2 linked regions of the Saccharomyces cerevisiae S288C genome follow. The gene in region 2 interacts genetically with the main gene of each other region. Each region holds a gene or a part of one and is shown on either strand. Other genes may lie near its edges.

Evidence for each region. Genes that interact genetically often act in the same process or in processes that back each other up.
Region 1: mutations in DUF1 (region 2) and ERG24 together harm fitness more than expected from each alone (negative genetic interaction), as found in Saccharomyces cerevisiae (one large-scale study listed by BioGRID).

The regions. Positions count from the first base shown.
Region 1 is NC_001146.8:108,530-112,204, forward strand, and holds ERG24 (delta(14)-sterol reductase), read right to left. Parts: upstream 1,883-3,675; coding exon 566-1,882; downstream 1-565. Other genes in the region: HCH1 (Hch1p), read left to right, coding at 1-399; pheromone-regulated protein PRM1, read left to right, coding at 2,388-3,675. UniProt on the Saccharomyces cerevisiae protein: Delta(14)-sterol reductase; part of the third module of ergosterol biosynthesis pathway that includes the late steps of the pathway. ERG24 reduces the C14=C15 double bond of 4,4-dimethyl-cholesta-8,14,24-trienol to produce 4,4-dimethyl-cholesta-8,24-dienol.
Region 2 is NC_001147.6:154,722-160,149, forward strand, and holds DUF1 (Duf1p), read right to left. Parts: upstream 3,917-5,428; coding exon 566-3,916; downstream 1-565. Other genes in the region: protein disulfide isomerase MPD2, read right to left, coding at 1-24; MHF1 (Mhf1p), read left to right, coding at 4,452-4,724; alcohol dehydrogenase ADH1, read right to left, coding at 4,827-5,428. UniProt on the Saccharomyces cerevisiae protein: Ubiquitin-binding protein involved in the resistance to phenanthroline, sanguinarine, nordihydroguaiaretic acid (NDGA), isopropyl (N-3-chloro-phenyl)-carbamate (IPCPC) and guanosine 5'-O-(2-thiodiphosphate).

The DNA of each region.
Region 1 (3,675 bases), on a different chromosome or scaffold from region 2:
GACTACTTGAACGGTAAATTAACGAGTTTGTCCACTGTTTCCTCTGATGGGAAGAGCAAAATTGAGTTAACCCAGGTGAGTAGCATCACCGGTGACTCCAACGTATCTCAAAGGAAGGGCAAGCCGATTTGCTACTTTGACTTACAGTTGTCGATGAACGTCAAAGTGACAAATTTGGATACTAATAAGGACGACGAGGATGATGACGGCATACTTGCGGACGGGAAACTAGAAATTCCAGAGTTTATGCATGACGAGTCTGATATTCCGATTTTGTCGCAAGGGTTTGATGCTTTTGATGGATTGGTTAGGTCTGAATTTGTCCCTAAAGTAGTGGAAACGCTACTAAAATACCAAGATGACTTGATTAAAGAACACTCAAAGGATATACAAGTTTGATGTGTTCATGTAACGAAAAGGGGAGCGTTGCATAGATAGACCACCGCCCCTTTTAATTTTTCCAGCGTTTTCAATTGTTATTCTTCTTCTTCCTCATACTCACCCAATACATAACATGTATACACACATACATAGATAATGAAGAAAATAGCAGTGGTAGAAAAACTTAATAAACATATGGAATGATCTTGTAAGGAACTTTTCTTTCGTATTCTTCCCAATTTTCGCCATATTTCAGGCGGCACTTGTGCTCATCACGTTGTTGACGGTGTAATAACAACGTGGCGAAGTACAACGAGTAGTAATATGTCAAGGGAGTTTGGAACCAGGTGGCCAAACACCAACTTAATGAAATCAGCCAATCGCCAAAGTAATTGATATGCTGTGATTTAGCCCACCACCCGTCACATAATAACTTTGTACCACGCTTTGTCTGAATACTTTTTAGATTTTCTAATTTACCTTGTCTAAACTCAGATTTTTGCTTATTTGCCGAGTGGAAGATGTGGAAACCCAAAAACATTATGGCTAATATACCGACAACTTTCACCCATCCCAATTCCACAGGGGAAACACTCAAGTAACGCGCTTGTAATGAGTAGGTGAATGGAACTAAACTTAAGTCACCAAACGCTAGCATGAAACCAAACCCATCTGTAGTGATATCCATCATGGTTAATACACCTTCCTCGTTTAGTACTCCATCGAAAATGTAAAATCCTTGCAAGAAATTAACCAAGACCAATGCATCGTTGATTTTACCAGTCTTCAGGTAATGGTGATGCAGACAGGAAAGATTGATCAGTAACCATAACAACATGCCGGGTCTCAACTCTGAAAACATCTTGATATCTAATGGGCCGAGACGAGGGTTCAGTTCTCTACCAATAAACCAATCGTAAATGATGTTTCCTGAATTTCCACCTAGTGCTAAGATCTTTTCCCTTTTGCCATTACCATTTTTCTTGAAGATCAATGGTATGAAGCTGGCAACATAGCAGTACGTCGCCAAAAAGAACGAAAACAAAATAGATATTATGCATAAACTAACGTGATTTTCATACAGATATTGCAATTCAGGCAATTGTCCATCAGTCAATTTCCATCTGATAGCCAAAACTAAGACCAAAGTTGTAGACATGGCAATTCCATTGATCTTATACGAAAGCTTCGAACCATCCCTTAACTGAACACCCTTCATGACTCTGCCCGGTAAAATGACGTCCAAAACTGCCAGTATTCCATACCACAGGCAATAGACAGTCCATAATTCACGATTGCCCAGATAGTAGCGCAATGGCTTGATACCGTTCCAAAGCTCAACTATATCGAAATTCTGGAAAAATCCCTTAATAAAATAATCGGGCCTTATCATTTGATTCAAGATGATAGTGAAAACAGGCAGCCCTATGCTGATGCCTAAGGCACCAATCAGCCCACCAAATTCAAACTCTGTAGTTCTGGGATTCAAAGCTGATACCATCCTTTTATTCTCTACACCGAATTTGTCTTTACTCCTATGCTGTTTACAAGGTCTATCTGATAAGCAATTGCGCAAGAAAATAGTAGAATGAAAACTGATTATTAAAAACAAACGTAAACTCAAGCCTCACTTGATGCTCAGACGGAGTACGTGAAAAACGTCCGTTATGCAAAACCCTTTATATGCACAACCTTCACACAATGCAAATTTCCGATGATGCCTACATACAAAAGAGCGAAAGGCGATATAAATTTTTTTCACGGGATTTTCGTTTAGGTGAAAATAAAATGAACGACAGAGCATGCAGAGTCCGGGTAATACATATGTTTCAATACTGTTTCAATACTGTTTCAGAAGTGCGTCACATATTAATTTTAACTTATAACTGGCCTGTTGCTGGCAAGAGGTATATATATATGACGAATGTGACCAACATAAGTCCTTAAGATAATCCCGAAATATTTGGTTAGGATGATTCCCTTTCGAATTTGTGAACGTTGATGATATGAGCGGTTTTAAATGCTATTTGCAATTGGGTGACAGGCTCTCTCAAATATGGCTAAATAAGTATACTTTGGTTTTGCTGCTAGCAATGCTGAAGCTTCTGTTTTTCTCCAAATCCATACAACATGCGATAGAAGTCTCGGAAACGTATATTTTGTCCAATTGTTACAGTATTGATTCACTATACTCCAAGATGACAGACAACACGCCGCACTATTTAGGTATCATGGGGAATTATCTTATCGAGAAGGGTATGGAGGAGACTGTTAAAGCTACGCTAGAGACGTTATCACTTATAGTATATGCGAGCGAGGGGCTGGTAAACTTTGCCATTGACCTGTATTTGGGCACTTATGCCTGTTTGATTGTTAGTGCCGTTGATGGTACCGTGGACGTTGCTACTAACATTACAGAAAAACTGATTAGCTTAGTCAATGATACAGTTTCAAGTGTGGCTAATGAATTGGATACGGGCTTGAATGACATCTCCAAAATAATCAATAAAGTGATCAAGGCCGCATCCAAAGTAGAGAATTTTTTCACAGGTGATGACGATGACAGTAACATGACGTCGTCAATCAAAAGCGTCAACTTAACCATATCTGCGCTTCACAATTTATACATTCCTTCCTCAATCAACGATAAGCTTGAAGAGTTATCGGCAAAGACGCCGGACTTTGCCCAGGTTAAGAATACAACCAAGAACCTGATCTCGGTTCCCTTCAATGAAGTTCGGAAGAATATCAAGGCCGTGAATGCCAGCAATATAATCGGAGATACCTCCGTTTTGTACGTACCTCCCGTGTCCCTTGACAACAGTACTGGGATTTGCTCATCCAATCAATCAGAAATTTTGGCCTTTTATTCCATCTTGGGACATGTCCTGAAAATAGCCACCGTAGTGTGCATTACCGTATTGATATGCTTCGCTGTTGGTGCGATGGCGCCCGTTGCATGGAATGAAATCAAGCTCTGGAGGCGCCTTTGCGGAATGAGAGACCATTACATGCTGAGCAGGCAAGATTCGTATACGTCCTTTTCCAGTGAAAACACGCACGAATTGAAAGATCCATTTAGAGATCCTCCTATACAAAATGGCCAATATGATGTCATTGCAAGCTATCAGCAGTGCTTTCAAACATGGAACACAAGAATAGCAGGCTGGATGACAAATCTTGTTACCTTTGGAAAATCACCAGAGAACATTGACCCAAAGACTAAACAAAAAATAGAATGGGTAGTGGCTTATATGACCTCCGAAAGAGCACTGTGTGTTCTTGGAATTGGAC
Region 2 (5,428 bases):
AAATAAAAAGCCGTGCAATTTCATCTCCTTTGTGTTTTACTTTGCCGACGTACTTGCACTAGACTCGCTGTGTTTTTTTTCTGTTGTTTTGTTGTTATGCTGTTCTTTAGCTCAAAAAATTGGCCACTGTTCCCCGCTCTGTAAATTAATTGCTCTTAAAGAAACAAAAATGATTAAAAAAAATTAGAAATATTTGAGATAATAAGAACATCATTCAGGTCGCCCATATTCACAATTATTTACAGACTGTATTTTAATGAAGAATGTGTGCATAACTTGATGGTACCTATTCAATATAAAATTTGATAAATAAATAATATTATAAAAATGTCTATGTAATTATTATAAAGCTCTAGAGTATGTATGAGTTGTTACACATAGCATTCCAATGAGTACTTGCTTTTTTCTTCGTTCTTTAGACATTTCAGAAGAATATTCTTTATCTTGTCATTGTTACTGCAACTACTATTATAGTATTATTAGTATTATTGTTGGTATTGTTACTATATATTTACGCTTAAAAACTCCAAATTCAGACCCCAAAATATAATTTAAATAAACATTATCATTTCCCCTCATTCCCGTTGACCTCATGAACTAGCGGTGAATTATGTACTTTTCTTCTGTATTCTAGAACTATGTCACCCTGAGATTTCCAGTAAAGTGTTCTAACGGTATTTAAAGTCATATCGTTATCAAGCACTTGGCCCCTACATAGTAGATCCAACCAAAGACTAGGTTCCATTTTTGCTTTCATTTCAGGAGTTTTCGTTTCAAATCTGTCAGCGACGTAAAGTTTAATTTTTTTCACCCTAATCATTCCAGGCGCAACCAGCTTGACATTCGCCTCAGAGATTCTCGGTAAATCTGTGGGGTTTAACTCCTGCTCGCTGGTCTTCGGACGGCCAAACTTTAGCATATTATGGAACTGTTGCTGTGTTGATGGGGAAACGGCTTCATTACCATTTCCAAGGCTGCTATCGCTACTATCGTTGCCAGAAGATTCTGTGGTATCTGATGCACTAATAAACTTCTTCTTGTTTTCATTGCCAGCTGCCTCACTCCCACCAACAGAAGACCATGGCATGATTAAGAAGTTCAACTTTGGTTGCTCTTCCACCGTCTTAATATCTCTAAATAAAGCTTTTGCAAACCAGTAGGGCAAATTTTCCTCCAATTGCTCAAAAATTTGCCTTCTGTTGAGTCTGCTTCCTAACTCGCCATCAATAAGATCATATTTTCCTAATTTGTCATCATCTACAGCTTGAAGGTCTACTTCTTCATCATCTGGCGGTTTGGAATTTTCTTTGCCGCCGCTGACGGTTTCATTATCGACATGAGATGGCGGTAATAGGGTGGAAAATAATACCCTGCCACCACATGAGCCTTCCTTCCAAAGATGGACCAAAACTAACGTGGCAGATTTTACTCTAATAATTGGACATGAACTAGCCTTGATTATCTTGGTGACTGGAAGCCTCTTCGTCAGGTATTTTAGAGAAGAAGTATTCATATATTGTTGCTTGTAAGACTCTTGAATTTGCTCCAGTAAATCGGGCATGAACTCAGGCTTCTTCTTTTCGTTGCCTTCCAAGGTTGACGTGGAATTCGCCCTTGAGTTTTCAGATGATCTTAGTTTGTTATGAGTGTTGTTACTCGGTAAATCTTGTGATGAAATAGCGGATAGTTTTTGCTCTAGCTTGAAAGGATGATTCCATAACATAGATTCTGGAGTTGCATCCTTAGACTGCTGAGTTGTATTGATAGCTTGAGGGAAGGCCGAGTCATCATTAATAACGTGCGGAGTATCTGGCAGAATTCCTTTGGGCTCCTCTGGAGTGTTTAACCCTGTTGTGGCACGACCAGAAGTAGACCTAAATGATTTGAACTTTCTACTTAACAAGGAGCCAGAGCTCTGCGTTCTAAAATATGGCTTTTTGGATGCAGGCAATGGTTGCACGAGTTCTAAAGAGTCATCTATTGCTTTATCAGAAGCTGACTGCAACAATGGTTGTTCTTCTAATACTATAGTCTCTGCCATTACCGGGGTTGCAGGTGCCGAATTTGGTGGAGTTCCACTGCTGTTGGTATTTCCAATGGACAGAGTTGAACTAATTTTGAAGGTTGATTTTCTCTTTTTATCTTTATTATTCTTTTTTGATTCACTGTTATATCCCGTATCCAAGGTTAATGAATTGGTTAAGTCTTTTTTCTTCAAACTAAAAATTTTCTTCCTTAAAAGTTTATCCTTTTGGACTTCATATGATATGAACTCATTGAAAAGCGAATTAATAACAATTTTACCCAAATTATATCTCTCATCTGAGTTAATTTCAATATTGTTCACAACCTGATAATCCTTTAGCGCGGATCCATAAACTTCAGTTTTCAGAAATTTTGGGTTTATTTTTACGAACAGCATACCGACCTTAACGGAAACAGTACACCAATGAGATAGAATTTCCTTTGAGGTGTATTTCATTACAATATCATCAAATGAACCTTCTGATGAATCAAAAGTATTCAAAAGCTCACATGAAACGATATCCCATCTCTGCATTTGGCCTTTAGTGTTTTCCGTTATTACATGCCTCCTGTTGGTTAGCAGTGAGCTTCTGGTCAGTGCGAACCCACCTTCGTTGACACTGAAATGGTTATTAGTTAAATCGAGCACGTTTAGATTTGAGTCAGTACAAAAAGAAAACAACAATTTTTCATTAGGTAAAAGGGCAATATCAAGGATACCACCATATTTTTTTACTTTCGCATCTGTAGTTGATATATTTTGCTCTTCGTGTTCATGGTGATGATGATGATGGTGGTGATGATCAGGCTTGAAAATTCTTGTAAGTTTAGCATCTTCATAACTGGATAAGTTTGCTCTCATAACATTGCCCTGAGAGTCACCAAAATACAACTTATCAAGGCTCGTTCCTTGGACACACCATATGGAAGAATCCCAGGACCAAGATCCAATTTTTTTGGGAAGCTGAAGGGCACCAGTAGTCTGATCATGCCTACAATTCAAGTCCCATACATTTATTACACCATCTGAGCTGGTACTGATTAGTCGTGTGGAGTCATCAAGAGTTCTTACTACTTTTATATTTGTTCTGTGGGCGTTTTGAATTCTTATCACCTCCTTACGATATTTACACGAATAAAAAATCAAATCACCATTACAGTCTCCGGCAACAAAATCAAAGGGACGAGACGTTTGATTGTCATCAAAACTGTATTTTGGGATGATGGGACTCATGGAGTATATTGAGCCTGTGTCGTTTGATTGTGCATTATCAAATGTGTGTAGTAGCGTAGCCATTTTTTCTGGCCCGCTGCTCAGGCACCAAAGTTTGATTTTTCTATCTAGACCACCTGTCACAAAAAGAAAGTTGTTCTGTTCATCAACAACAATGCCATTATTTATTCCATCGTGTACATTATCAGGACCACCCTCTTGTTCTTCCAATTCATAGTCATTTGACATTTCATAATGTATGGGCACTATGCACTTGATATAATCGTCGTGGTCACCGATTATTTTCTTATCCCAGGTAGTTAACTGCGCATTCACACTAATTAATACTATCGAAAAATCGTGACTTACTGATATGAATGTGTCCCCTGCAGATGGGTCTGAATTTTTCATATTAACATGTATTAGATCGCTTGCCCAATCGCTATGAACTTGCATTCTTATCGCATCGTTTTTTATGGTAGTTGCAGCAGTCTCAGGCTCGTTCGAGAGCTGTGTGTTCTTGTGCAAAATTATGGAACCATCCCTTCCTGAAGTAAGAAAATAGTTTTTACCAGGTATATCCGGGTACAGAATCTTTGTTATCGGTAAGATGTGCGCATCTTGGGAAGTGCAGTAATCTGGGGAAATTAGGCCATAACTCACTGTCAACTGATTCATTATTACCTTTCTATTTTCTCCGGCTTTTTATTGGCTTGCTCTTCTAAAGTCAGAAAAGCGTAGATTTGCTAGAATGTATCGTTTCCTCGTTAGGAATGGCTTGAACTAATTCCTGTATCTATGCAATTGCAATCCAACTACACTTATACGACGTCAAAAGGAAGGGGCGGAGCGTTCTAATTGTAGTTGCAAAAAGCGATGTAGTCGTTCTTCAAGTAGTAATTAATACCAGGATAGGACACGGTGTTATGGTGCTGGTAGTTACTTGTTATAATGTTATTATTGGGCAAAAAGAGAGTTCACTGTTTAACAATAGCAATGGGGTTTTTTTCAGTATACATTTGAACTGCAATGGAATTTGGGCGGAGGGAGCAGTAAAGGGGCGATCAGAGTTGAAAAAAAAATGCTGCCGTAAAAAAAGCATGCACGTATACACTTGAGTAAATATATTTATGTATTCATATCTCAAGATAAGATCATGATACATAAAAGCGATATAACGTCTTGAAGCTCAGGTAAGGGGCTAGTAGATGCAATGAATGACGATGAAGATAGAGCCCAACTGAAGGCTAGGCTGTGGATCCGTGTGGAAGAACGATTACAACAGGTGTTGTCCTCTGAGGACATAAAATACACACCGAGATTCATCAACTCATTGCTGGAGTTAGCATATCTACAATTGGGTGAAATGGGGAGCGATTTGCAGGCATTTGCTCGGCATGCCGGTAGAGGTGTGGTCAATAAGAGCGACCTCATGCTATACCTGAGAAAGCAACCTGACCTACAGGAAAGAGTTACTCAAGAATAAGAATTTTCGTTTTAAAACCTAAGAGTCACTTTAAAATTTGTATACACTTATTTTTTTTATAACTTATTTAATAATAAAAATCATAAATCATAAGAAATTCGCTTATTTAGAAGTGTCAACAACGTATCTACCAACGATTTGACCCTTTTCCATCTTTTCGTAAATTTCTGGCAAGGTAGACAAGCCGACAACCTTGATTGGAGACTTGACCAAACCTCTGGCGAAGAAGTCCAAAGCTTCTCTGGTGTCAGCTCTGTTACCGACGTAAGAACCAACAATAGAGATGGACTTGACGACTTGGTTGAAGACATCAGAACAACACTTGGCACCAGCTGGCATACCGACCAAAACGGTGGTACCGTTAGCTCTAACGTATCTGGTAGAAGCTTCAATAGCGGCTTCGGAAACGGAAACGTTGATGACACCGTGAGCACCACCGTCAGTGGCCTTTAGAACAGCACCGACAATGTCCTTTTCCTTAGTGAAGTCAATGAAGACTTCACCACCGATGGATCTGAATAATTCTTCCTTACCTTCACCACCGTCAATACCCAAGACTCTGTAACCCATAGCCTTGGCGTATTGAACAGCCAAAGAACCTAGACCACCAGCAGCACCGGAGATAGCAACCCAGTGACCGGCCATCAAGTTAGCAGACTTCAAAGCCTTGTAGACGGTGATACCAGCACACAAGATGGGGGCGA